2 linked regions of the Lytechinus pictus genome follow. The protein of the gene in region 1 interacts with the protein of each later gene in a pairwise test. Links are inferred from orthologs where the notes say so. Each region holds a gene or a part of one and is shown in the gene's direction. Other genes may lie near its edges.

Region 1 (12,547 bases):
ACACATCCTGCTTGCATTCGATCTTCATTAAAGGTCTTTCAAAATGCAAACATAAAATGCTACATGTATAACAGATGATTTACATCACCACATACATGAACATGTTCAAAATCGAAAGAACACAACTGATATCTCAATCATGATTCTACTATAAATATGTACTGTTTTGGCATGCATTGCATATATATATATCACAAGGTGTACTTCCTTGGTCAAACTCCATGTTCTGCAATGTGTGGTGGGTGGGCTTTAGAATGCAATAAAGATAGTGTGGGTGAATGCTTTCTCAAATTTGTGTTTTGTGTAAGCCTTTTGACTTGATTCTTGTTTCCTTGTTTGACATTCTAGTTCAAGAAACTTGATTGAACACATCACAGATACCTTGACCTTCACCTTGACCTTCACTTTTACCTTGACCTTCACCTTCCAACAGGTTTTATCATTTCTAAAAGACTTTTGTTCATGTATATAGGATGACAATATACTGCTAGTCTGCACGCACATATCCTTGGGGTTTGCAATTTGCATAGTGAATAATACAGAGTCTGAAGTAGTGAGACTAGATCACTATGTACTGTGGCTGGCACAGACAGAGTCTTTGGAGTCTAGTCTTCACTCGAGACCTGTTATTGGTAAAAGTGTCAAATATGAGGCTGTGCTTGCTGACTAAGATACTGCAGTGCTTTAAAATTTGTTTTCACACCTTATAAATGTGAATACCCTTTTTCTTCCTGACCTTTCTTAGTTTTATTTCTTTTAGTTGTATACACATTTCTAATTTCCTCTATCCTTCATATTTGTGAGTTAACCACTTCATCGTGTATCTTTGAAGCACTTTACTGTCCATCGGTCTCGTAATGGACCAAATTTATAGCCATTTTATTGTCCAGTGCCTGTACAGTTTATATCTTGATTACGATGTCTTATCTTTTATTCAAGTATCTGCAGGAGACGGTCACTGTGTGGAGAGATCCACACAGTTAATCGCTGGTGTGAAATTCATAATTACAATCCTTGAACTTTTACATGTTCCAGTCTTCAATATTATGAACTTATAATCTTGGTACTTCAGAGTTATGAATGTAAATGCCTACAAGTCTTCACCATTATGAAATTCTTATGGAGAAAGAGAGAGATGAGTGAAGGTATCCTCATTGAGATCAGGGCCCCATCTTACAAAGAGTTACGATTGATCCAATCAATCATAACTCTATGGATATCCATCAGTGCCATAATATTTTTCTACAGGAAATTTGAAAAATGTCCTTTGTAAACAAGGGAGAACGCACCAAAATGTCAAGAAATCAATGAATTTATGGATATACTTTTATATCTAGAAATATTTTTTGAACAAACATGCATTCTATATATGTTGAATTTGCTGGCTTTCCATAGTTGTCAGCATTTTGCTCTGTGAATTTTACTCTATTTCTTTATATAAACATTTTTAGCCCAGAGCGTCTCTTTAATTTTTGCTGGAATGAGGCCATTTTAAAGGAGAGTACAGTTCTAAAATAGAACATAGCTCACATGTCACCTACATGTACATCTGCATAAAAATATTTTCTGGAAGATGTTGGATCTAAAACATTGATATGCATGACCAGATGGTGCCTTTATGATCACTTGATCATGGTATTTTCTTATTAGGAATTTTACCCCTAAAATAAACCCCCCCACAAAAACCCAGATATATATATATTCAATGATTTATAGGGCCTTTAGAAAAGTATTACATGTAGTTAGTACGGAGTTAGTACTTCCCCAAATTACAAGAACTTTCCCAGGAATCTGTCTTGAGGAGTTGAGGTTGATGGATTTTGCAAAGTGAAACCAATTATGAGGACTTAGATGTGAGGGAAGAAGAAAAAGAATTCTTTGTAGAGGAATGGAAGCCTTATTGCTGACTTCACTTCATACTTCAGGAACTTTATCTGGTTTAGATGGCAGTACAGGAAATTATTGATAACTAGTTCTTTCAATTAGCCAGTATATATTCTTTTTCCAGTGGGGGTGGGTTATGAATATATAACTTACTTGATGGAATCATGATCAAACCAATAAGCCTGAGTGATTTTTAGAAAAATAAATCTATTTGATTTGCTTAGGACTGCAACAAGGTCATTTCCATTAAACACAACAAAGTCGGGACTGCACAGTTAATGGTTTTACTCTTGTATCTAGCAAGAAGATAAATGCATATTCCCCTCCGTCTTCAGGAAAATACAAGGTAATGTGTCATCTCCCAATATGCGGAAATGCCAGGCGTCTACTTCTTAATTCAGGAGGTGAATTTGTAAGGTCAACATTATTTGACATGTTAGTGCCGTTAAGATTTAAAACCAGTAGGCCTATGCAAAGGTTTTTTTTCCTCTTTCATTTCACATATTTTTTATTGATTCGACCATTATTTTAAGAACATTTTAAGTTAAGTTTGCTCAGGAGCACTGGATCGAGAAGCATGCGCCTGAATGTAGGGATATTTCTAAGTAATGAATAAAAATCAATCAACATAATAAAACATTTCAGAGTTAATGGTTGAGAAGATATAATCATGAAAATCAACTCAAAAGCACATACAGCATTCACAGGCTACACCACTTCACCATAGAACGGGACCAATAGCTTTAGCTAGATAATTTCATAATCAATGAATTATTGGAATTTTTTTATTTAGGAATTTTAGTAAAGACATCATGACAGATAAGAATAGAGTATGTTTAATAGTGCGTACACACTTTTAGTGTAATAATTTATTGCAAGGGATGGGGGGGGGGGGGGTTCTTATGTGTGCACTGGTGTTTGAAAAGTGATAATTTTTTTTTTTTTTACTCTATCACTATAGTATTGTTCAAATTACCAGGGAAAGTGATAAGAAAATTACATCAGATTTCGGTCTGAAATAATATTGCTATACTAAATTTCGTCGGTCTTCCGAACCGTGGTATCACACATACGACTGTGCAAACCCATTTCAGAGAAAATCGACTTCAAAGTTTAGTATAATTTTCACACTTGGTTCCCAAGCCTTACAACACATTCGTTGCGAGAAAAATACATGGTTGGAAAGACCAAGATAATTGCTTGACAATGGTATCCTTATTTTTACACAAAAGCAAGGATCAGAGAAAATATCGCAAAAGAGCTACATGCTTGTAATTTTGGTTTGAGTGGTTTAGATTTCCCCCCGTGCAAAAACGCCATAGGGAATACAACAACCCTGACGCGATTTCAATGCGCACGGTCAGTCAAAATGTTGTATCGCTTTTCACGTGCAAAGTCAATATAGTGCAGATGGCCAATACGACAGTTTGGCTGACTGCGCGCATTGAAATCGCGGTCAGTCAAAACGTCGTATCGCTCTGTTACAGTACATGTTTCCAATGGGATTTTCGCATTTTATTTGTAAAATGTATGGCATCGCCGTGAAATTCCTCTCATATCTCAGAAAATAAAATAAATTGCTGCCTATAAATTTAGTTATGAATAGATTAGGACTTGTACTTTAATTTTCTGCAATAATCTCAAAATCGATTTTTTTTTTGGGACCAAAATTGACTGATACGACGGTTCGGATGACCGCCGACGATTTGAAGGCCTATAATTTTGCGATAAGAAAAAAATATTAAGTTAAAAGGAATTACAATTTTTATCGGGCAATTGCTTGATTTATTTATGTTTGTTTTATCATATTATTATTCTTATTTGTATTTAATCTTATTCATTGAATTTGATAGCAATTCATTATATGAATCCAATTTTTCTCCAAAAGATTTTTTTTGTACCTCACTGATCATGGGAATAGAAAAGGGTCATACGTTATGAAACGGTCAATAGGGAATTGTTCTCAAGGCATTGAATGCCAATTTGTAACCCATTTTTTTATATGACCGTTAATCAAATTTTACACCCTGCATACCAATTTTATAGTGAGAGAGAGGAAGAGAAAACAAACTTGATCTGGGGAATGAAATTTATTCGTAATCAGGATGGAGGAGAGAAACCTGTTCCCTGGCCATTGTGAGTCATTAGGTGGTTTCAGACCGACTCAAAGTTTGTTAATTTTGGCAGTGTGAAAGCAAATGACGCGTAATCTCCCCAGAAGAAAATACTAAATAGTAGGTACATGCCAAAATTACGAGAACTTTCGCAGGGATTTTTCCAAGGTCCCGGGTATTTAGGCAGTGCGAAAGCTAATTACCAGAACCTTCAACCCAGTGTTTAGTTGTGCCCGGGCGCCGTGGGTGGCTGCTGAGCTGGTGATTTTTAATCTTGCCCCTTGCTTGCTTATCAGACCATACTGCACATGCTTATAACTTCAGAAACTTATCCCAAAAGGTACGTTTCGGGGCGATGTGAATGTGGTAAATTAACAGGTATTTTTTAGCCTCAAGAATTTAACGGGGATTCTTGTGATCGAGGCAGTTTGAAACCACCTATTGTTACTGCATGAATAAAGTCAGGGTAGGAAATGATTGTGATTGATTGCTTTATGAGGATAAACTTGTCAAAAATATCCCAAAGGATCGTCGATATTCAAGATGAAGCGTATTTTACTTGGGAAAAGTGGGTGTGTCTGTTAAAAGCAGTGCAAGTTAGTTTAAATAAGTCTTTTTGTAGTTATAAGGATGATATTGATTCAGCATTTTATTGTGATTGTGTTGATTTGCAATTTACAGGAGTATGCCTCAAAGACAGGCAGAGAGAGAGAGAGAGAGAGAGAGAGAGGGGGGGGGGGGGGGCCTGAGGGGAGGGAAAGAAAGAATTGGGCTGAATTTATTTGGCCAGACATAAAGTAAATAAGAAGAGAATGGTGAATACATGCTGATATTATATTTCCAATCAGATATTATAAGATCATTTTATTATCACACCCTCAGACAAAACTTACCTTAATAGTCGTATTTTATTATTTTTTTAAATGAAGAAATTATATGTGTAAGATACCCCCCAAATGTAAAATAAAAATGAAATAAATGTGAAGATATATTGGAGTACTGTTAGTACTCTTAACAAGAGAAATGGAGGGAAAAAATAGTGTGAGGGAAAACGAGAAGGTTTGGTGAGAAGGAAAGAGATCAAAGGAGGGGAGAAAATGTGAAGGAGATGGAAAGAGGGGGGGAAGAGAAAAAAAATAGGAAGTATGAGAGAGATTTTTTTAATATATAAGAGAGACATGATAGATAAATAGAGAGATGTAGATTGAGGTAGGATGCCCCGAGAGAGGCAGAGAAGGTAGAACAGTAATGCAATTAGCCAGAGTGTGCCCGTTCAGTGTACATGCATTATCATTCATAATGTAAAAGACTTTCCTGCGTGTGGCCCCTGTGTAGATTGGGTGTTCAATTATTCAGATGAAAGGTATCGTGCTTGCATCCATCCAGGCTTCGATGATGACGGGAACAAGAAGAATGACTTAAAAGGAGATAGGATGGAATATATGCAATCTTCCAGTACACTGGGGAATGCTGTTTCATTTTCATAACAACATCGACATGCTTGATAGTATGTAACGCCCTCATATAAGCAACAATTGTCTTTGAAAGCTCTGTGTGTGGTGTTGCTATTGTTGGCTACATTTGCACTAAAATGTTTTCTGTAAATCTTTTTTTGTTGCTTTTAAACAAAAATAGGATTTGAAATGAAAATAATCCCATAAATCTTTTGCTTCAAATTCAAATACCAATCCATGTTTGAGGTATGAAATTATAGAAATATATATTTACCATACAATAGGATGATTAGGAAGCGATTTGACAGTTTGCTTTGCAAATTAGGTCATCAATTCCGCCCTCTCCCCAGATCAAAATCAACCAGATTAGAGAAATTTGTGAGAATCTATCAACATTTGATTTTGACAATCTCTATGGTCAGTTGGATAAAAATTCACCAATAGATCCTTTTTTAACTCCTTATTTACAGATAATCCCTTTATGAAGCCTACAGCATTCAGTATTCAATGATAATTATACTTACATATTGCGCTATATACCTGATATATCAGAAGTCTCTAAGCACTCTACAGTAATGTAGCATAATTACCCTGGCTTTAGCAGAGCAGCTGTTACGCGTGCTGTGTTTCAAGGAATAAATTCTTACCAGGTACCCATTCACTTCACCTAGGTTGAGTGCAGCACAATGTGGATAAATTTCTTGCTGAAGGAAAACACACCGTGGCTTGGAATTGAACCCACGTCCCTCAGATTGAAACACGAGAGCCATAACTACAAGACCATGACGCCCTCAAGTAGTCTATATGTTAAGGCTGTAGTTGCATGTGTGTGAAAGGTAGCCTAGTGAAAAGCATATCTGATGGATGCCACTCGACATAGGCCCTCTTGAATATATTTGTTTTTTTAAAATAAATATGGCAACTCTTTTAATGATTTCAATAATCATAAACACATTTCCCCTTTACCATCAACCCGAGTACACCATAGTGATATCCACAAAATAATTGCACAAAGAAATAGGAATTCTTTGGTATATGGAAAAGATGAACTTCCTTGAAATTCATTGTTGGTTTGGCGAAGTGCTAATCATGTAATTATAACAAAATATTTTTTGTCATGTTTCAAGTGTCCTTGTTCTTTGCTCCTGCTGAATAAAGATCTAATGACATTCCTTTTTTTTCTTTCCTCTCAACAGTCAAAGCCGCATACTTGGATGGACCCCCAGGTAAGCAATTCTTTCGTTGGGTTAAGTGTTATTTTTTTTAGGATACTCATTAATTTTTTACCTTTTTGAAAATATTTCAGCAGAAATAAGAAAGCCATGAAACAATATAATGGAAATGCAAGTAGTTCAAGATTGGAGAAAATCTCAGCACAGTAAATATAATCGAAATTTGAGATCAAATCAGGAAGCCATGGCATTAGAAAACATTTGCTTATTTTCAAAAGAATGCAGATCTGGGAATCATTCACGTCTTATGCTCACTCTCTATCTTATACAATATTATTGACTTTTCAAATATTTCAATTTTTTCTCCAACTGAACAATATTTGGTTTGATTCATCATGGAACATATAAAAATTATTGTTATGATTTATTATGATTCAGTGAAGAACTGATTTTACCATAAAATGTATGAAAATTGACGTATTTGAAGTTTCCTAGAAATTCCTAATTATAATGAACTAATAACAAAAATAGTGTGTTACATCATCAGCTCTCTCATTTGCGTAATGCTCAGGATGTGCACGTCACTATTTTGTGAAAATGGGATAAATTTTAAAATGCCATAGCTTTTTTATTTTTAATGTATATTATCTGATTGTTTTTTCTACATGTATATTTGTTCAAAATAAAAGTGTTGGGATTAGGCCTTAAAGTATCTATATTCACATCCTTTGGTTGTGTTTCTAACAGATTCATATGGATATAGCTATGATTGTCAGATTGAACCTAAATTGGGAAGCCTTCAGTGGTTAATTTGGTTTGTTTATTCAGTTAAAATGACCTGAATACTTGTGATAATTGACCTTCCTGCCAATAAGTCAATATTGACCATGGATCATGAAATCGAGTCTCCTGCAATGTCGTCCAGGATGTATTTTTGAGGATTATTTTTGGAATTCCCCTTAAACATCAATTATTTTTATGAAAAATTTGTGATGATGAATAACTGTATGATTGATTATGGTGACGATGATGATAGTGATGATGTGATTGATGTTGATGGTTATGGTAGTAATGATAATGAAGATGATGGGAATGACATTGATGTTTTTGGTGATAACGATGACAACGGCTGCGATGGTGATGACAGCGATGACGATGATGATGAAGACAATGATTATTGTGATTTTGATGATGGCGATGGCAGTGATTGTGATAACATTAGTGATAATGATAATGATGATGATGAAGGTGATGATACCACATGCACACATACTACACATGCGGAAATTCATATGCATTTATATTTTTAGTATTAGTAATAAATGCAGTATTATTGGAAATATAAGTGCATATGAAATTGCATGATAAACAATACACAATGAAATAGGTCATATGCTAAAATGTAGGCTTGAATGTATGATTTATATTTGTCTTGCTACCTGTAAAGAAGGAAATGAGAGGAAACAGGATAAAGCAGACAAGAATCTTTATTTTGTTCTTCAAACCTTATAACATTTCTTGTATATCATCCAAACAGATTTAGACTTGAATTTAAAAAAAAGAGGTAAACAGTTTATACATTTGTAATGAGACCTCAAAATTTTAGCAGTAGTTTGTGATGGTTTATATAATGATCGTTTTGTGGGAATGAAGCCGTAGCTCGGCAGCCTCTTCTTCTCTTAAATTGTTTACACATTGTCCATTACAAGGATTACAGCATACAAGGGGAAGAAAAATAAATATGTTCTCAAGATAGCGGGCTCACGATGTACCCTTGATAACGTTACAATCGGCACCTTATCTTCCAAGGAGCGAGACAAGAGAAAGAGAGGAAGGCGTCTACTTTGCTCTAAATTACCCTTTTTACACAGGATTTTCTTAACCCCGGACTATCGCTAACCCCGTACTATCCTTAACCCCGTACTATTTTTTTTTCCTTTTCACACATGCCAAATTGTTATCGCTAACCCCGGATAAGGAATGCTTGCTTTTCACACACGAAACTCGCTAACCCCGGACTAGTGGTTTTTGTCGATCATTCGTAGTACAAGTACTTCAGTAGGTGGTTTCAGACCGCCTCGAAGTTCGCCAGTTCCAGGTATTCTCTGATCGGGAAATTTACCCCGATCAGAAAATACCAGGTATTTTGGCGGTCTGAAAGCAAACTACGCGTAATATCCCCGAAAGAAAATACCCGATAAATAGTAGGTACTTGGCGAAATTACGAGAACTTTCGCGGGGATTTTTCCAAGGTCGTGGGTATTTTGGCGGTCTGAAAGCAAATTACGGGAACTTTTAGCCCAGCGTGTCGTTGGGTGCGGCGCCGTGCATGGGTTGCTGCTGGGCTAGTGATTTTGAATTTCGCGCCTTGCTGCTTATCAGACCATACTGCGCATGCTCGTAACTTCAGGAACTTATCCCGAAGGGTATGTTTCAGGGCGGTGTGAATGCAGGAATAATTAATGGGTATTTTTCAGCCTAAAAAAGTTCTCGTAATTTAACGGGGATTCTTGTGATCGAGGCGGTTTGAAACCACCTACTCGTACCTTTTTACACACGCTAAAATTTCCTTAACCCCGTACTATATAGTACGGGGTTAAGCTTAGCCCACTTTCGTTTTACACTAGCGATCTTAACCCCGTACTATCGCTCTTAGCACCGCAATTGCTGGGATAACCCTGCTTTTTTGCAGGGCCAAATAATCCCGTACTAAAGGTGGGGTTAGCCCACTTTGCAAAAATGCTGTGTAAAAAGAAAGTGGGCTAAGCTTAACCCCGTACTATAGGTGGGGCTAAATTGCCATTTAGCCCCACCTATAGTACGGGGTTAAGGAAATTTTAGCCTGTGTAAAAAGGGTATATGATTAGTTTTCAAATTTACCCTTAAATTGTAGTTGGTAGTTTTTTCTCAGAAGTGGGGGTAATAGATAGTTTTTGCTCAGCAATAATGAGGATTGGAGGGCCAAGAGTAAAAATAGTCTCATGATAGAAGATGCTATGGCTCATTCCTAATCTTAATCTTTGACGAAACTGCAAGAACTTGGAATTGTAGTACTGTGCTAGATGATAGATGACGTACCACATCATTATGGTATCCATCGCTCTTCAATTAAACCAAAGACTCCTCCCCGCAATAAAACAAGAAAAATGAAAATATAAAGATACATTTTACATTTTAAATAATGAAGAAATAAATACAAAAATATGAGTGAAAATATTCATTCTTCTCAGGAGTGAATTTATTAAAAAAAATATCTAAAGTAAATGTGAATTTAGAATATATGTATTTTCACTCAGTTTGGAGTGATATAAGAAAGAAACATTCCCAAGATCACTCAAAAATTAGTACAAAATACACAATTTTACTCTGTTCATTTGAATGGAGTTATTTTATAAAGTCAATCCTCAGAGATGTATTTTTTTCTTATTTTTAGGAAGATCTTAAATATCATTTGTCATGTGACTTTATGTCATTCTTCATTCTAAAACTTTATTTGCATAGTTGAGTGAAAACTGCTGAATACTTTGGTTGTTACAAAATGACTTAGTAACCACCATGATTCTCTGTTCTGTCCTTAAGGCCTGTTCTCAATGTAATTACGATATATTATTCATAAATGGAAATGGTTTTTTAACATAGTTATTTCAAGTAGAGGATATGATTTGACAGGTTATCAAGATGTTGCTTATTGGAGCATTAATTCTGGGCTTGAGATTTACTTTCCATTATATCATGATTATCCTATTGAGATGTTTTTATGTACTCCTTAAAGGCGACCGCACACCTTATGACTGGTCAGTGACCCGATTTCAGAATAAAATGTAATAGAATTTGATGCTAATATTGAGACTTGGAATATCTTATTGTGTAATGTTCTAAATCATCGTACGAATACCTATGATCAAATTCGTGACTATGCTATCATCCTTCTTAGAATAAAAGCAAATTTAATATCTAGTCGTAATGACGTCATAGCAGTCGTACGATTGGCTACGATTTGAAACTAATTTGGACTTTACACCAAAATAAGGACTTGCAATCTTTCAAAATTGTTATAATATTATTATTTCAATTAATTTTAACCTCAAATAAAATGATATGTTCCATTCACATCTTCAGAAAATGAGCAAAATGCGATTTGTTCCAAAATCGGGTCGCAGACCAGTCGTAAGGTGTGCGGTCGCCTTAAGAAATACAGCCTCATTCATACACTTATCTTGTTAGCATTCATTGCAAAATTCTACTCTCTTTAAATTGCAATCTTGCAAAGGGATAGTATATATGTGAAGCAATTAGAGTTCATCTCACTTCTTTTTTAAATGAGACTTTAGAGGTGTCTTTTTTCATGAATATGATAAAGAAAAAACTTTATTATTTTACATTTTTAGGAGAAGCCCCAAAATAGACAATATGTAGTATAAATACCTGTTATAATCACCTGAGACTTGAACAAATATATGTAAAGAATACACAAACAAAGCTGTTGCCATAGGAACCCATTAACAAATGCTAACAAATGCTAACAGATCAAATAAAAATGTAGGTTATTGGATTACTTTAGCTTTATGAATACAAGATAGGGTTTTTTGTTTTTTTAATCTGAACTTCTCTCCAGGGGCTTTAAAAAAACCTCTTTTAATAGACTTAGCCACTGAGTAATAGGCCTACTTTGCTCCAAATCCAAAAAATAATGCATAAAGCTTAAATAAATAAATAAAGCTACCTGTGAAAGAAAAATGAGGGGGGATTCACACATAATCACTTACTTTCTGAACAATAAAAAAATATAAATTGATTTTTTTGGAAATTAAGAATGAAGATAATCTATTGAGATTATTTTTACAATATACATGTATCTGTGTTGTTATCAAGAATATATGAGGGACACTTTCTAGTGAAGACGTTGTATGAGAAGTGTAGGCCTACCTTACACTTTTCTAGTAGGTCCATGCACTTACAAAGATAAGATCAAAATCCAGAATTTTGAGTACATGTTTTGGTGAAATATAATGATTTATCATATCATATTCAACCTTAGACTAGCAGCACCTTATCAACTGCAATGGATTGAATAAAAATGAAGAAGATACCTGCATAATGTTAAAGAATGTGTATACATTAGCAAGGCAAATGGTAAATAAATGAACATCAAATGAGAAAAGACAAGAGATACAAGGTTGAAACAGGGGAAAGGCGAGTGTCCGTCATTGCATTACTTTGGCAATGAGTTGTGTTTATGTAGGCACTTATGACGTCACTACCATGCGCTCCATTCTTATATCAGAGAGAGTTCAATCCAATATTAGATGACGGATGATGTATAAACACGGGATCGCATATCAATAATTGCATTGGGGGGTAAAATGTGTGACTCGACATTCTCTCTCAAAAAAATTGTGTTTTCTGCAAATACCATATCCTATTTTGCCCTGTACGTACTCGGGTGTTCTTTTTCCGTGGGTTGTTGGTTTGAATGAGGATCATGTACGTACCAGGTGTTCATATCCCACGTAAAGCATTACAAATATTGTTGTAATCTCTATGTAAATCTATTTTGTATGTAGATTACATTGCAAGTCACGCAAAGCTCATGAAATTTTATTGCAATATCAGTATTATAACATCTACTGTTTGTGATGAAATTCAACATGCGCACATCAAGAACTTAATTTATTTTCAATGTGGAATGGTCTATTAGTGTATTGATTAATTGATTTGATAATATTTGAGAGCTGGTGGGAATAAGTAATGATTGGAGTATGTACAGTACAATTTGAGCTAAACTTAAATTATAATGTAATTTTACTTAGAATTCTGTTGGGAGTATATGATTTTGTCGTAGTTTAAGTCTTCAGTAATTGATATGCATATAAGTTGTTAACCTTGCATAGTGAGTTACTGACTTTTTTAATACAATTGTAAG
Region 2 (13,510 bases), on another chromosome or scaffold:
GTCAATTTTCAGCATTTCTCTGCCATAGACTGTGTAGTTAAGAAATGGACACACACAAATCCAAATTTTTAGCTTCCGAGAGCTGTTATAAATTTGTTATTAATGCCAAAAACTTTTCCATAAAGAGTCAAATATGATTTTTCATGCTCTTTCTGATGGTATGATTTTTATAAAGATTTGGAAACCAGATCACAATGAAAAATTGCGACAAAGTGAAAAAAATTGTGCAAAACAGAAATGTTATTTTCCCATAGAAAACGCATGGGGAAATGGCAATCTCAACACACACACAAATAAGGGTTTGCAATTTATCTCTAAATCCTTATTTCAAATAATCCTATAAACTTGTCCTTACTGTCAAAAGAAGCCCCTGAACTTTCTCTTTCCATACATGCCATATACAAGTTAATAATCAATTCAGATCACATTTTTCTAGCAGCCTGAATTTCCCCCAAAAATGTGCCATATTTTCCCTAAAATCAGCCTGTTTTATGCTGACACTTTTCAGTGTGGCTTCAGACACCCTATCATTAGATAGTCACTTGATAGATAGGGCCCCCAACCCTCCTGCTTGTGAAAGGAGTCACATCTCCATGGATAGTCACTTGATAGATAGGGCCCCCATCCCTCCTGCTTGTGATGGGAGTCACATCTTCATGGATAGTCACTTGATAGATAGGGGCCCCAACCCTCCTGCTTGTGATGGGAGTCACATCTTCATTAGATATTCACTTGATAGGTAGGGTCCCAACCCTCCTGCTTGTAATAAGAGTCACATCTTCGTTAGAAGGTCACTTGATAGGTAGGGTCCCAACCCTCCTGCTTGTAATAAGAGTCACATCTTCACTAGATAGCCACTTGATAGATAGGGTCCCAACCCTCCTGCTTGTAATAAGAGTCACATCTTCATTAGATAGTCACTTGATAGATAGTGCCCGTAACCCTCCTGCCTGTGATGGGAGTCACATCTTCATTAGATAGTCACTTGATAGAAAGGGTCCCCAACCCTCCTGCTTGTAATAAGAGTCACATCTTCATTAGATAGTCACTTGATAGATAGTGCCCGTAACCCTCCTGCCTGTGATGGGAGTCACATCTTCATTAGATAGTCACTTGATAGAAAGGCACTTTTTCTTCTCATTCCTCTTTAAAAATGTTAATAGGTAGTTGTTACCAGCTTTATATAATACTCCTTTTCTCAGAAGATACATGTACTTGTTACACTTCTGAATCAGTAAAGAAAAACTGAAAAAATTGATCGATAAAATAGAATAAAATAAATAAATGATTAAATAAATTAATAAATCAAATAAAAACAAATACATGAATCAATGATTAAATAAAATACATTAATATATAGGTAAATCCATTAATTTTTTAATATATGAATGAACAAATAGGATTTAAATGATGATACAAATACCGGTATATTTATTAATGAATAATTTCAGCAGCTTATCTCCAAGGCTGTGCACATAAGGGATGTTTCAATGTATTCATTGTAAAATCTGAATATATTGCCGGTCAGTATTCTTTCTCCATATACCTGTATCGTGCTGCATAAAGGTTAGAGGAAATAAATGTTTACCCCAGGAAGATTGAGCTAATGTTTTAAAGTCTAGATCATCCATTCTCTCATGATTACCTCATCATTAACATGTATGATTAACTCATAAACCTCGTACACTCATAGGCGCATGATATTGGGCTCATTGCAAATTGGTAGCCTACCATAAAAGTGTTTGATACAAAAGTGAAAAGCAATCTTCGACATGTCCTAAATTTCCATAGGGGAAAGGTTGATGTGATTACATGCAGCTATTTAGTGTAGTAATGTTTATTCTATTATCCAATATTTTGACATACACCTATACTTGTACTTATTTCAATTATTTGTGACATGAATTTGCTTTGTTTCGATGTGCAATAAATTTTCAAAGATGGATGAGGCAAAGTACAAGTGCAAAATTAGCCAGTTAATGTCACAGTGAAATGGCAAAATATGAAAATGAGTTACTGAACTGGAAAATGAATAATTATTTGAAAATAATTTGTTGTTACAAAGTATTGCCATCATTTGTCTACAAATGAGTATGAAGTGAATAAGAGTGCAGTCTGGCATAGAGGCTAAAGGTAGATTGTTTGTGCAGGTCTTTATTACTCCATCAAACCCATCCAATGTGCAGTGCTCCGCTATCAAATGTCACGAGTCTGTATCAATAAAATCCATGATTCTATATTACACCAAATATTGCTCAATGAATCGTTCACATATGTGCGCCAATATTGTCTGATGGAGCGTTCACTTATGTGTTTTGATATTGCTCTTATACTAGCGTTCACATGTGTGTGCACAGATACTTCTCTGTTGTATACATGTGTGCTGGTATTTGTAATGACAGCATTCTACTAGCGTATCATACAATGTTTGTAAACCTTACATGTACATGCTGTAGCGTATGAGGCGCCGAATGTACCAATATTATATAGAACAATTATTTGTTATATAATCATTATTTATTAAATAATAACTATTATTTATATATAATTTACATTTTATTTGTAAATAACTACTATTATATAAAATATCATTTCTAATTATTTATATATAATTCCAAGTAATACTTCATTATTTGTAAATAATAATAGTTCGACATTCCATTATTTATAAATAATGATTATTTGTTTTTCATTATTTATAAATAATGATTATTTGTTTTTCATTATTTATAAATAATGATTATTTGTTTTTCATTATTTATAAATAATGATTATTTGTTTTTCATTATTTATAAATAATGATTATTTGTTTTTCATTATTTATAAAATAATGATTATTTGTTTTTCATTATTTACAAATAATGATTATTTGTTTTTCATTATTTATAAATAATGATTATTTGTTTTTCATTATTTATAAATAATTTGTTGAGTTTTCCATTATTTATAAATAATGATTATTTGTTAAATAATGAAAACGTCTACTTCATTATTTATAAATAATTTTTTCGAGTGCACCATTATTCTCATTATTTATAAATAATCATTATTTAATGTTCGAGTTTTCCATTATTTATAAATAATCATTATTTATATACAAATAACCATTATTTATTAAATAATGCCATTATTTATTAAATAATGCCATTATTTATTAAATAATGGAAAACTCGCTATAACATGCAAATGTGGGACCGCCCATGATATGAATATTCATGATGCGATTTCCTTTTTCGTGATTTTTCTTCACAAATTTTTGTCCATTTCCTCTTCATAATGACATTTCTTGAAGCAATTTTCTAGGGATATGGTCTGATTGTAATATTCTTCATTTTCTATATAACTTCGTCTTCGTAGAAATATCAAAAAGTGTAATTTTATACGATTTTTCCTACAGTTCACAATCCCCATAGGCGCGCGTGTACGGTAGGGACAACCGGTGAATCGACGGAGTGCTCTTCATCGAAATACTACGTTGGTTGGTCCCCGGAAGTGGCGGGCGGAATTTAGCCCGAATCCTCGATGGAAGTCGATCAAGTGCATATGAGCTGAGAGAGTGAAATATCAGTGTACTTGTACAGGCCCTTCTACTTTTTATAAATATTTCTTGTTGCTTTTTTTGTTAAGTTAATTTTTCCTGGTGTAGAAATAAGTTTCAGTTCTAATAATGCACTTCAAATACATTTTGGAGTGTCTGTTTGAGGCGTTTGGGGCGATTTCACCCTGGCCCCAAAATGCTCGCAACGACAATACGGGGGCATGATGACCCCTAATTTTTTAAAAACTTATTTTTCTATTGAAAATTATCACAAAATTCACCAAAAGTGTGCACGAAAGCCTTCGTATTTCACTTTTAAAACTCCAAAAAGTGCCCAAATGACAAGCTTGGTCGCTTCGCTGTGTCGCTTTCAACTTGAGAACGTTTACGCGTCTGCTTCCCCCCCCCCCCCCCCCCCTCCTCCGAAAGAAATTCTGTGAACAGCCATGCTCTAAAGAGCCTGGCACATTGATTTATGTATACTTCATTTTCATTATTTTTATCTCATTATCATCATGGCCTTACGCAGAATTTTTTCCGGGGGGGGGTGGGGGGAGCAGGACGCGCGTAAACTTTCTCATAAAAATCTTGAGAAAGCGAAGCGACCAAGCTTGTCATTTGAGCTTGGTCGCGTCGCTGTCTCGCTTTCAAGATTTTTTGAGAAACTTTACGCGCGTCCTAGCTGCCCCCCCCCCCCCCCCCCCGGTAAAAATTCTGTGTAAGGCCATGATGATAATGTGATAAAAATAATGAAAATGAAAAGTACATATAAATCAATGTGCCATATGCTCTTTTGAGCATGGCTGTTCACAGAATTTCTTTCGGGGGGTGGGGGCAGACGCGTGTAAACGTTCTCAAGTTGAAAGCGAGACAGCGAAGCGACAAAGCTTGTCATTTGGGCTTGGTCCCGTGGCTGTCTCGCTTTCAAGATTTTTTTGAGAAAGTTTACGCGCGTCATGCTCCGGCCCCGGCCCCCCTGGAAAAAATTCTGCGTAAGGCCATGTTGATAATGAGATAAAAATAATGAAAATGAAAGTATACATAAATCAATGTGCCAGGCTCTTTAGAGCATGGCCGTATACAGAATTTCTTTCGGAGGAGGGGGGGGGGGGGGAGCAGACGCGTAAACGTTCTCAAGTTGAAAGCGACACAGCGAAGCGACCAAGCTTGTCATTTGGGCACTTTTCGGAGTTTTAAAAGTGAAATACGAAGGCTTTCGTGCACACTTTTGGTGAATTTTGTGATAATTTTCAATAGAAAAATAAGTTTTTAAAAATTAAGGGGTCATCATGCCCCCGTATTGTCGTTGCGAGCATTTTGGGGCCAGGGTGAAATCGCCCCAAACGCCTCAAACAGACACTCCAAAATGTATTTGAAGTGCATTATTAGAACTGAAACTTATTTCTACACCAGGAAAAATTAACTTAACAAAAAAAGCAACAAGAAATATTTATAAAAAGTAGAAGGGCCTGTACAAGTACACTGATATTTCACTCTCTCAGCTCATATGCACTTGATCGACTTCCATCGAGGATTCGGGCTAAATTCCGCCCGCCACTTCCGGGGACCAACCAACGTAGTATTTCGATGAAGAGCACTCCGTCGATTCACCGGTTGTCCCTACCGTACACGCGCGCCTATGGGGATTGTGAACTGTAGGAAAAATCGTATAAAATTACACTTTTTGATATTTCTACGAAGACGAAGTTATATAGAAAATGAAGAATATTACAATCAGACCATATCCCTAGAAAATTGCTTCAAGAAATGTCATTATGAAGAGGAAATGGACAAAAATTTGTGAAGAAAAATCACGAAAAAGGAAATCGCATCATGAATATTCATATCATGGGCGGTCCCACATTTGCATGTTATAGCGAGTTTTCCATTATTTAATAAATAATGGCATTATTTAATAAATAATGGCATTATTTAATAAATAATGGTTATTTGTATATAAATAATGATTATTTATAAATAATGGAAAACTCGAACATTAAATAATGATTATTTATAAATAATGAGAATAATGGTGCACTCGAAAAAATTATTTATAAATAATGAAGTAGACGTTTTCATTATTTAACAAATAATCATTATTTATAAATAATGGAAAACTCAACAAATTATTTATAAATAATGAAAAACAAATAATCATTATTTATAAATAATGAAAAACAAATAATCATTATTTGTAAATAATGAAAAACAAATAATCATTATTTATAAATAATGAAAAACAAATAATCATTATTTATAAATAATGAAAAACAAATAATCATTATTTATAAATAATGAAAAACAAATAATCATTATTTATAAATAATGAAAAACAAATAATCATTATTTACAAATAATGAAAAACAAATAATCATTATTTATAAATAATGGAATGTCGAACTATTATTATTTACAAATAATGAAGTATTACTTGGAATTATATATAAATAATTAGAAATGATATTTTATATAATAGTAGTTATTTACAAATAAAATGTAAATTATATATAAATAATAGTTATTATTTAATAAATAATGATTATATAACAAATAATTGTTCTATATAATATTGGTACATTCGGCGCCTCATAGTAGCATTCATACAGTAAAGGTACCTGATAAACATTCCTTGAAATAATTTGTTCTATTGCATTCGGTACATTGTTGGATGAACTGATTACATATTACCAGCAAACCATAGGCCCTCATAATCAAGGAAGGAAACTTCACATTAGTACAGAAATAAATTACAAGTATGAACAGTACATCCATAGGACCTGTAGTTTTCTACATTCGGTTGCCAAAACAAAACAGAAAGTACATATACATGTAGTCTCTGATTAAGAGATGGACTTTCTGAACAGGTTCTGACTCAACCTTTGATATATACAGTATATAATATGTGCAGGCCCTATGGTTAAATTTTTTTTTAAGTACACAAGTGTTCCCTTCACAGATGATTTATCTAGTGTAATTGAAACTTTTTCCAATTTTACTCTGTGTGAATTGGTATTATGATATCTACTGCTGATGTGAAACTAGTATGTACAAATTAAGAGATGGTGTATTTTTTGTAAAACATATATGTAATGATATAGCCTTTGAAACAAGAAATCAGTATTAATTGAAAGCAAGTGTTTTGTTTGTAGTCTTTTTTTTTTGGGGGGGGTGGATTGATAGTTGTATTTGTAATAAAAAGAAATTCTTACAAATTTTCACAATTTGTGGATGAGCTGTAAAAGAAGATTAGCAGTAGGTTGCATCTTCCCCTCCGCCTTTCCCTTTTCCCTCTCTTTAAAGGAGATAATTTGTCATTGTTCTGGTGTTGTTTAGTCGTACATGTAATCAACATTACCACCACCACCAATATGAAACTGATCATTATCATAATCACCACCACTACCATTACCACAATGCTCACCATCACTACGACCATCATCACTTTTTATCATCATTGAAATCATCATCATCATTTATCAAATCACCTACACCACCATAATTTTTCCTCCTCATCACTCCACCCCCTTCCTCTATTTCTTAGTGCCCTCATCCCAGAAAAAAACTTCACAACTTAGAGGCATATTTAATTATTTTTTTCCTTATTTTATTTTCCATTTGCAGAAGTCAAAGATGAATTGGAGGAGTTGATGAGTGACATCAAGAAAACAGCAAACAAAGTCAGAGCAAAATTAAAGAGTAAGTAAACATCACTAACCTTTTCATGAACTCTCATGTTCTAACATCGGTCATCCCTTTCATCGTAACGTATTTCAAATGAAGAAACCATTTACTGTCTCTTTGTGTGTAATGCAAAAACAAGGAGATTGTTTTTACAATTTCAATAGTTACGTGTGTAACTTACCATGAACTGGAATTTGAAAGACATTCAATAGTACTGACAATGAAATCAAATGTTATTTAATACAAAAAGAGCTTTTATTTTTAGTAGTGGGAGAGGTGGCACTTAACTGCTCTGTCAGCTAGAATGAAAGTTACTCCATTCACTGTATCGATATTATATTATAAATTACAGACACGGGCAACATTTTTTAAAGCGAAATTGGTGTAGAAATATAAAATATATACTCGAGTCTTGAACTTACATTCAGGTCCCGTGCAATCCACTCACGTGAACAACTAATGGGATTTCCATTCCTATGAATATGTATGAAATCCATATTTATGTTTACTTTTTCTGATGAAAGCTACTTCCTGCATACATTATTAGAGTGATGCATGGAATGTTACTTTTTTCATGTGAAATTTGAATTACAATTTTAGGATATTTACTTTCACAGGGTGGTTGCTATTGGTCATTATGTGTTAGGGTTATCTGTCCTTCCCTTTTCCATTCTCTTGCTGACCAAACAATTGTTTTACATGTAAGTATAGGAGGGATGAAGTATGAAGATCTGATTAGTTAGGGGTATCAATATTAAAGGTCACTATACATGTATTTGGCAATATGTGTGTACAATGTAGAGTGAGGATTATTAGATTTTGGCATCACTAGTTCAGAAGACAAAGGTCACAGCACCACCTCCTCGAAAGAATATGTGCTGTGACAGATTGAAAAAAATTGGGGTCCATCACTTCTGTTTTTGTTGTTAATGTTTTATCTTTATTAGGCATATAATAGCCCCTACATCTTTTTTTTTCATGCATGCAGCAGGGAATACCTGCTACAGCTCCTCACATATATTTGTAAGAGACATACAGTACATGTATGCATCCAGATACATAGAGATTAAGGTTCAGTCAGTTGTAAGTGCCCTCTGCTCACAATATTCCATTTTTGGTCAGGGGTTAGGGGGTCCAATGTTCTGATAAATGGTGCAATTGAGAATTAAAAAAATCATCACAAATAAGCATCTGAAAATACACTGTTTGGTAGTTTTTCATGCATTGTTTTATATAGGAAACGTATTTCATCATATAATTATTGTCAGGTTCTTCTGGTCAAGTGCATAAACTTTTAAACTTTTTTGTTATTTCATTCTAATATGCTTTAATCTTTTACAAAACAATTGTCCACTATTGATGCATATCACTACCTGACAAGGTCTAGTTTTTAATCCGACAATAAGAATGAAACCCAAGAGAGTTTTCTAAACCTAAGATGTCCCTATCATTGGTGATGATGATGACACTTCCTAAACCCATAAGACAGAGCATGGCAAGCTATTGCTTCATGTAAATTTATGTGTGACTTTGTGTGTCCTGAAAACTCTGTGAACTCGGTAGTGGCTGGGTAATACAAGTAGTGCCTTGGTAATAAAGCAGCATTTTGAATAGAGGAGGATGGGAAGGGCGGGAGGGTATAGGTGAAAAATGCTCTAAACTGCATAATACATGTACATAGGTCTTTTACACAAAGAGTTTGCGGATTGCGATAATGACCCCCCCCCCCCCCCAAGACTATTCAGATCTTACCATATTTTTGAGAGTTTGAAAAATTAATATCACAATTCATTTCAAGAGTTGATGAATTGCGAACAATAAGTCTTCAAAAAGCAATCATTTAATGGAAGAAATACAGATACACCTGTATGTAAAATGGTATGTGAATAATAATAAATAATTGTATTAAAAGTAAACTTACTTTTCCATGATGTGATTCCAAGCATGAAATGATAATTCTGCTTTTATATAGCACACATTTCATCTAAAATCTGTGATGATGTGTATCTAATTGCTGCTTTACAAATAATGTTTGTAACTTTTAATTAATACACACTTGCTTCATACATGTTTTGCAAAGACATAGATAGATTTGCAATTATGTAGTCCCTCATGATTGTAAAATCCAACAACTTTATTTAAAAAAAAGCATGATACATGTAGGTAGTCATTTTAATAGAACATAAAGTAATAAATGGCATATATTCTAAATAAATCAACTGTCAAATCAATTCAAATCTCTTTTATATTTCAAGTAACTAAGATTAATAATAATTTTTCTCACAAAGCGAAATACGTACTATGAAAAATAAACATCAACATGCTTTTTTTATAATGAACAGTTGGTCAAATGTGCAGGTTCATCTGTTTACGAGTATTCCAAACTAGTGCCAAACATACCTTGTTCTGTGGAGAATAAGGTTTTTATTGTCTCACCTGCATAGCAGAGTGAGACTATAGGCGCCGCTTTTCCGACGGCGGCGGCGACGGCGACGGCGTCAACACCAAATCTTAACCTGAGGTTAAGTTTTTGAAATGACAGCATAACTTAGAAAGTATATGGACCTAGTTCATGAAACTTGGCCATAAGGTTAATCAAGTATTACTGAACATCCTGCCTGAGTTTCATGTCACATGACCAAGGTCAAAGGTCATTTAGGGTCAATGAACTTAGACCATGTTGGGGGAATCAACATCAAAATCTTAACCTAAGGTTAAGTTTTTGAAATGTCATCATAACTTAGAAAATATATGGACCTAGTTCATGAAACTTATACATAAGGTTAATCAAGTATCACTGAACATCCTGCATGAGTTTCACATCACATGACCAAGGTCAAAGGTCATTTAGGGTCAATGAACTTTGGCCGAATTGGGGGTATCTGTTGAATTACCATCATAACTTTGAAAGTTTATGGATCTGATTCATGAAACTTGGACATAATAGTAATCAAGTATTACTGAACATCCTGTGCAAGTTTCAGGTCACATGATCAAGGTCAAAGGTCATTTAGGGTCAATGAACTTTGGCCAAATTGGGGTATTTGTTGAATTACAGCCATAAATTTGAAAGTGTGTTGGTCTAGTTCATAAAACTTGGACATAATAGTAATCAAGTATCACTGAACATCCTGTGCGAGTTTCAGGTCACATGATCAAGGTCAAAGGTCATGTAAGGTCAAAGAACGTTGGCCACGTTGGGGGTATTTGTTGAATTGCCATCATATCTCTATAAGTGTATTGGTCTAGTTCATAAAACGTGGAAATAAGAGTAACCAAGTATCACTGAACATCTTGTGCGAGTTATAGTAGTTTTCAAAATCAGCACTGCTGCTATATTGAATCGCGTGATGCAGGTGAGACGGCCAGAGGCATTCCACTTGTTTTAAAAAAGGGACCAAAAATAACAACAGGAATATTTATAAATAGTATAAATAGATGGTACAACTGTACATGTAATTGATCATAGGGATTTGCTTTCTCAATTTTAAATTTGGGATACTAAAAACAAAACTGGTTTGTAAGGCAAAATATTGCTTATATTCTAACAAAGAAGAGTTTTTACACATTGTCTTGTGCAGAATATTCTATATGTAACGGTGAAAATGTATATGGGCTAATGTATGTGCATAATATTTGCAAATAAGTTTAAAATAAGTTTCATAAGAGTCATGGTGTTCATTACAAAATGTAGTTTAGAAGGATCCTAAATTTGGAAAATAGCCCCTATACTGAAAATCTTTTAATTTTTTCACTGGCCCCCATAAGACCTTTATTGAAAAGATGGGGACATGTTTGCTTTACATATACCCATGCATGCATTGTGATGTAGTCTGGATGAGAGCTTCTTCATCTCAATGCCACGGCACTGACACCATCCCAGTTGCCTCCATCTCCATCATAATGTCAAAACCAGCGACCTATCCTCCACGAGTAGTCTCTACCATTTCATACTGTAATTCAAAACTCTCTCTTCATCATTTCCCAAACCCAATCAATACCGCTTCTCTCACATTTAAGGATCAATAATCGGGCTTGATTCGTGGCCAAAACGGGAGAAACTGCGTGTACTTGCATTGAGCATTGAGCATTTTTCAATCTTATTTAGACCCGGCGTCCTGTAGGATGGAGTGAGTTTTGAGATACAATTACATTGAGTGAGCCATGATTGAAATGAACACAAGGGGATGTGCATATGTAGACTATCCGTATACATTATAAATACAGCCTTTTGCAAATTTGATAAGGAATTTTATGCCAAGCCAATTTAGTTGGCATAGGCATGTCCTATGCATGACTCGTAGGCATCGTTATGAAGAATATTTGGGGCCTTGATATATCATCAATGCTAGAGGAAAAAATATATTGGAGTAATCTACTTTTCATGGATAATATTAAGATGGCATTTCAATCAGAAAGAATGAGTTTTATAAGAGAGTTTATTGAATTCCTGTGATGTAGTGTATATGGGAAGCAAAATACAAATCTGGTTCATGATTTTCACTCTGTATATTCTGTGAATTATAATAGTATTTTAGCTCTGAATAACCTAAATAACTTGCTGCTTTTTACATACATTCAACCTATACTAATTTTACAAGTACTTAGGCCTATAGGCTCTAGTATTGACAATGGCATTGGTAATTTACTGTGTGTAGCAATTCTTTTCATTCGTTTCAATTTATTTTGGAATTCTATAGCATTTTTTCAATGTTTTGTTATAAACTTATGTCTGCACATTGTTTAAAACAAGTTTTTAATCATTTTTTGTATTGAAAACGAATAATGATCAGTTGTTTAATTTTTCTGTTGAGATTATAATGCTTCAATACTCTAATGTATTTTTAGTCGAATAACTTCCATTCTTGACCTTGCTGCGCATTAATCTCTTTATCCTACTATATTTGTTACCCATGAACTTGGAAATTGTACACAATTTTACAGCTTTTCTTTGTGTCTGTATGTATGTATATATATATATATATGAGTTTTCTTAAATTCACTGAATATTAATATTGAAAATAATGATAATGAACATAACTTGTATAATGCTCTATTGTCAGACATGTTAGCATTCTGACAATTTCTGTTATGTTTTTCTTTTACTGCTTTACTTGTCAGTGTTATTTATTGAATTTCTTTAGAAACTCAAAGCCTTACTGTTATTGTAATTATATATTTTATTCGAGAATTCCATCATTTCTTCCACTCAAATGTCATGCTAGAGGGTCATGTGGTTTCTGACTGCTATGAATCAGACTTCCATAGTATCATTAAAATCAGCTTTAGAAAAATAATACATCACAATCTGTTTAAATATATCTATCCTTCACATTTTCTTTCATACACCAAAACCACTATAAACTTATTTCATCTGTCAAAAATGTTTATTTATCATTACGCTCACCTTATTTGATATTACAAGAAGCTTAAAATAAAGCAAGTTATTCTTGGATTTAATACTGAAAGCAAATATTGTGAAGCTTAGGCATTATTTCTCACTCCTCCTCCATGTACACCTTTTCTCAGTCTTCTATAACAACAATGTTTTCCATCTTCTCTCTCCCTTCCTCCCAGTTTGGCCTCCTCCCTACGTCCCTTTCTCAGGGTATCAGAATCATCTCTCAAGCGATGATTGGCCACTCTGATGATTAATAACTTCCCATTTGCTCTCTTTACACTGAGCGATAGAATCTCCCAATGGTTAATGTAGTATAGTCGTCTCAGCAGTACTGGTCTTTGCCCTGCTATATAAACATCTATCCATCCATTCTATATTTTGTATCTTTTCTTTGGATATCTCTTCACTTTCATACAATCCATTTACTGTTTTTATTTTTTGTATCCCTTTATCTTACCATTTCTTCATGAAGAAGCCCTTATTTCTCACTAATATCACAATCTGTTCACCTATCAATCTCTCTATCACCATATCAGATATCAGACACTTGACAGCTAGGAGCCCTACTGTCATACATCACTGTGTCCTAATGAGAATGGAGTCCAGAGAAACCAAATTCAATGCTTCACTGAACCGCTCCAATTAAAGCTACACTCTTAGATTGCTGCCATATCAATTCTTACTTCTCATTTACTACCAGTTTTGGTCAAGATTTTAGAAGAAAAAATTGCAAATCCTAGCTTTTCCAAAGCAATTTTAAATGTGCATAATGTGGCTCTGATAATACAGTGAATGTGTAGTTATCCTTTAATAGTACTTGGACTTAAAGACCCAGACTGGAGGTAAAAGTGAAATTGACAAAATGGAAATTATGTAAGCTCCATACTACA

Evidence for each region.
Region 2: the proteins of protein unc-13 homolog B-like (region 1) and syntaxin-like interact in a two-hybrid assay, tested with the Caenorhabditis elegans proteins (2 studies listed by BioGRID). The link is inferred for Lytechinus pictus from reciprocal best matches to the Caenorhabditis elegans genes unc-13 and unc-64.

What each region holds. Positions count from the first base shown.
Region 1 is NC_087249.1:28,652,893-28,665,439, reverse strand, and holds the start of protein unc-13 homolog B-like, read left to right. Parts: upstream 1-7,619; coding exon 7,620-7,872; intron 7,873-12,547.
Region 2 is NC_087246.1:4,060,735-4,074,244, reverse strand, and holds the start of syntaxin-like, read left to right. Parts: upstream 1-7,155; 5' UTR 7,156-7,185; coding exon 7,186-7,234; intron 7,235-13,510. UniProt on the Caenorhabditis elegans protein: Plays a critical role in several secretory processes, including cuticle secretion and neurotransmitter release, and probably assists in neuronal membrane maturation or the final stages of neuronal differentiation.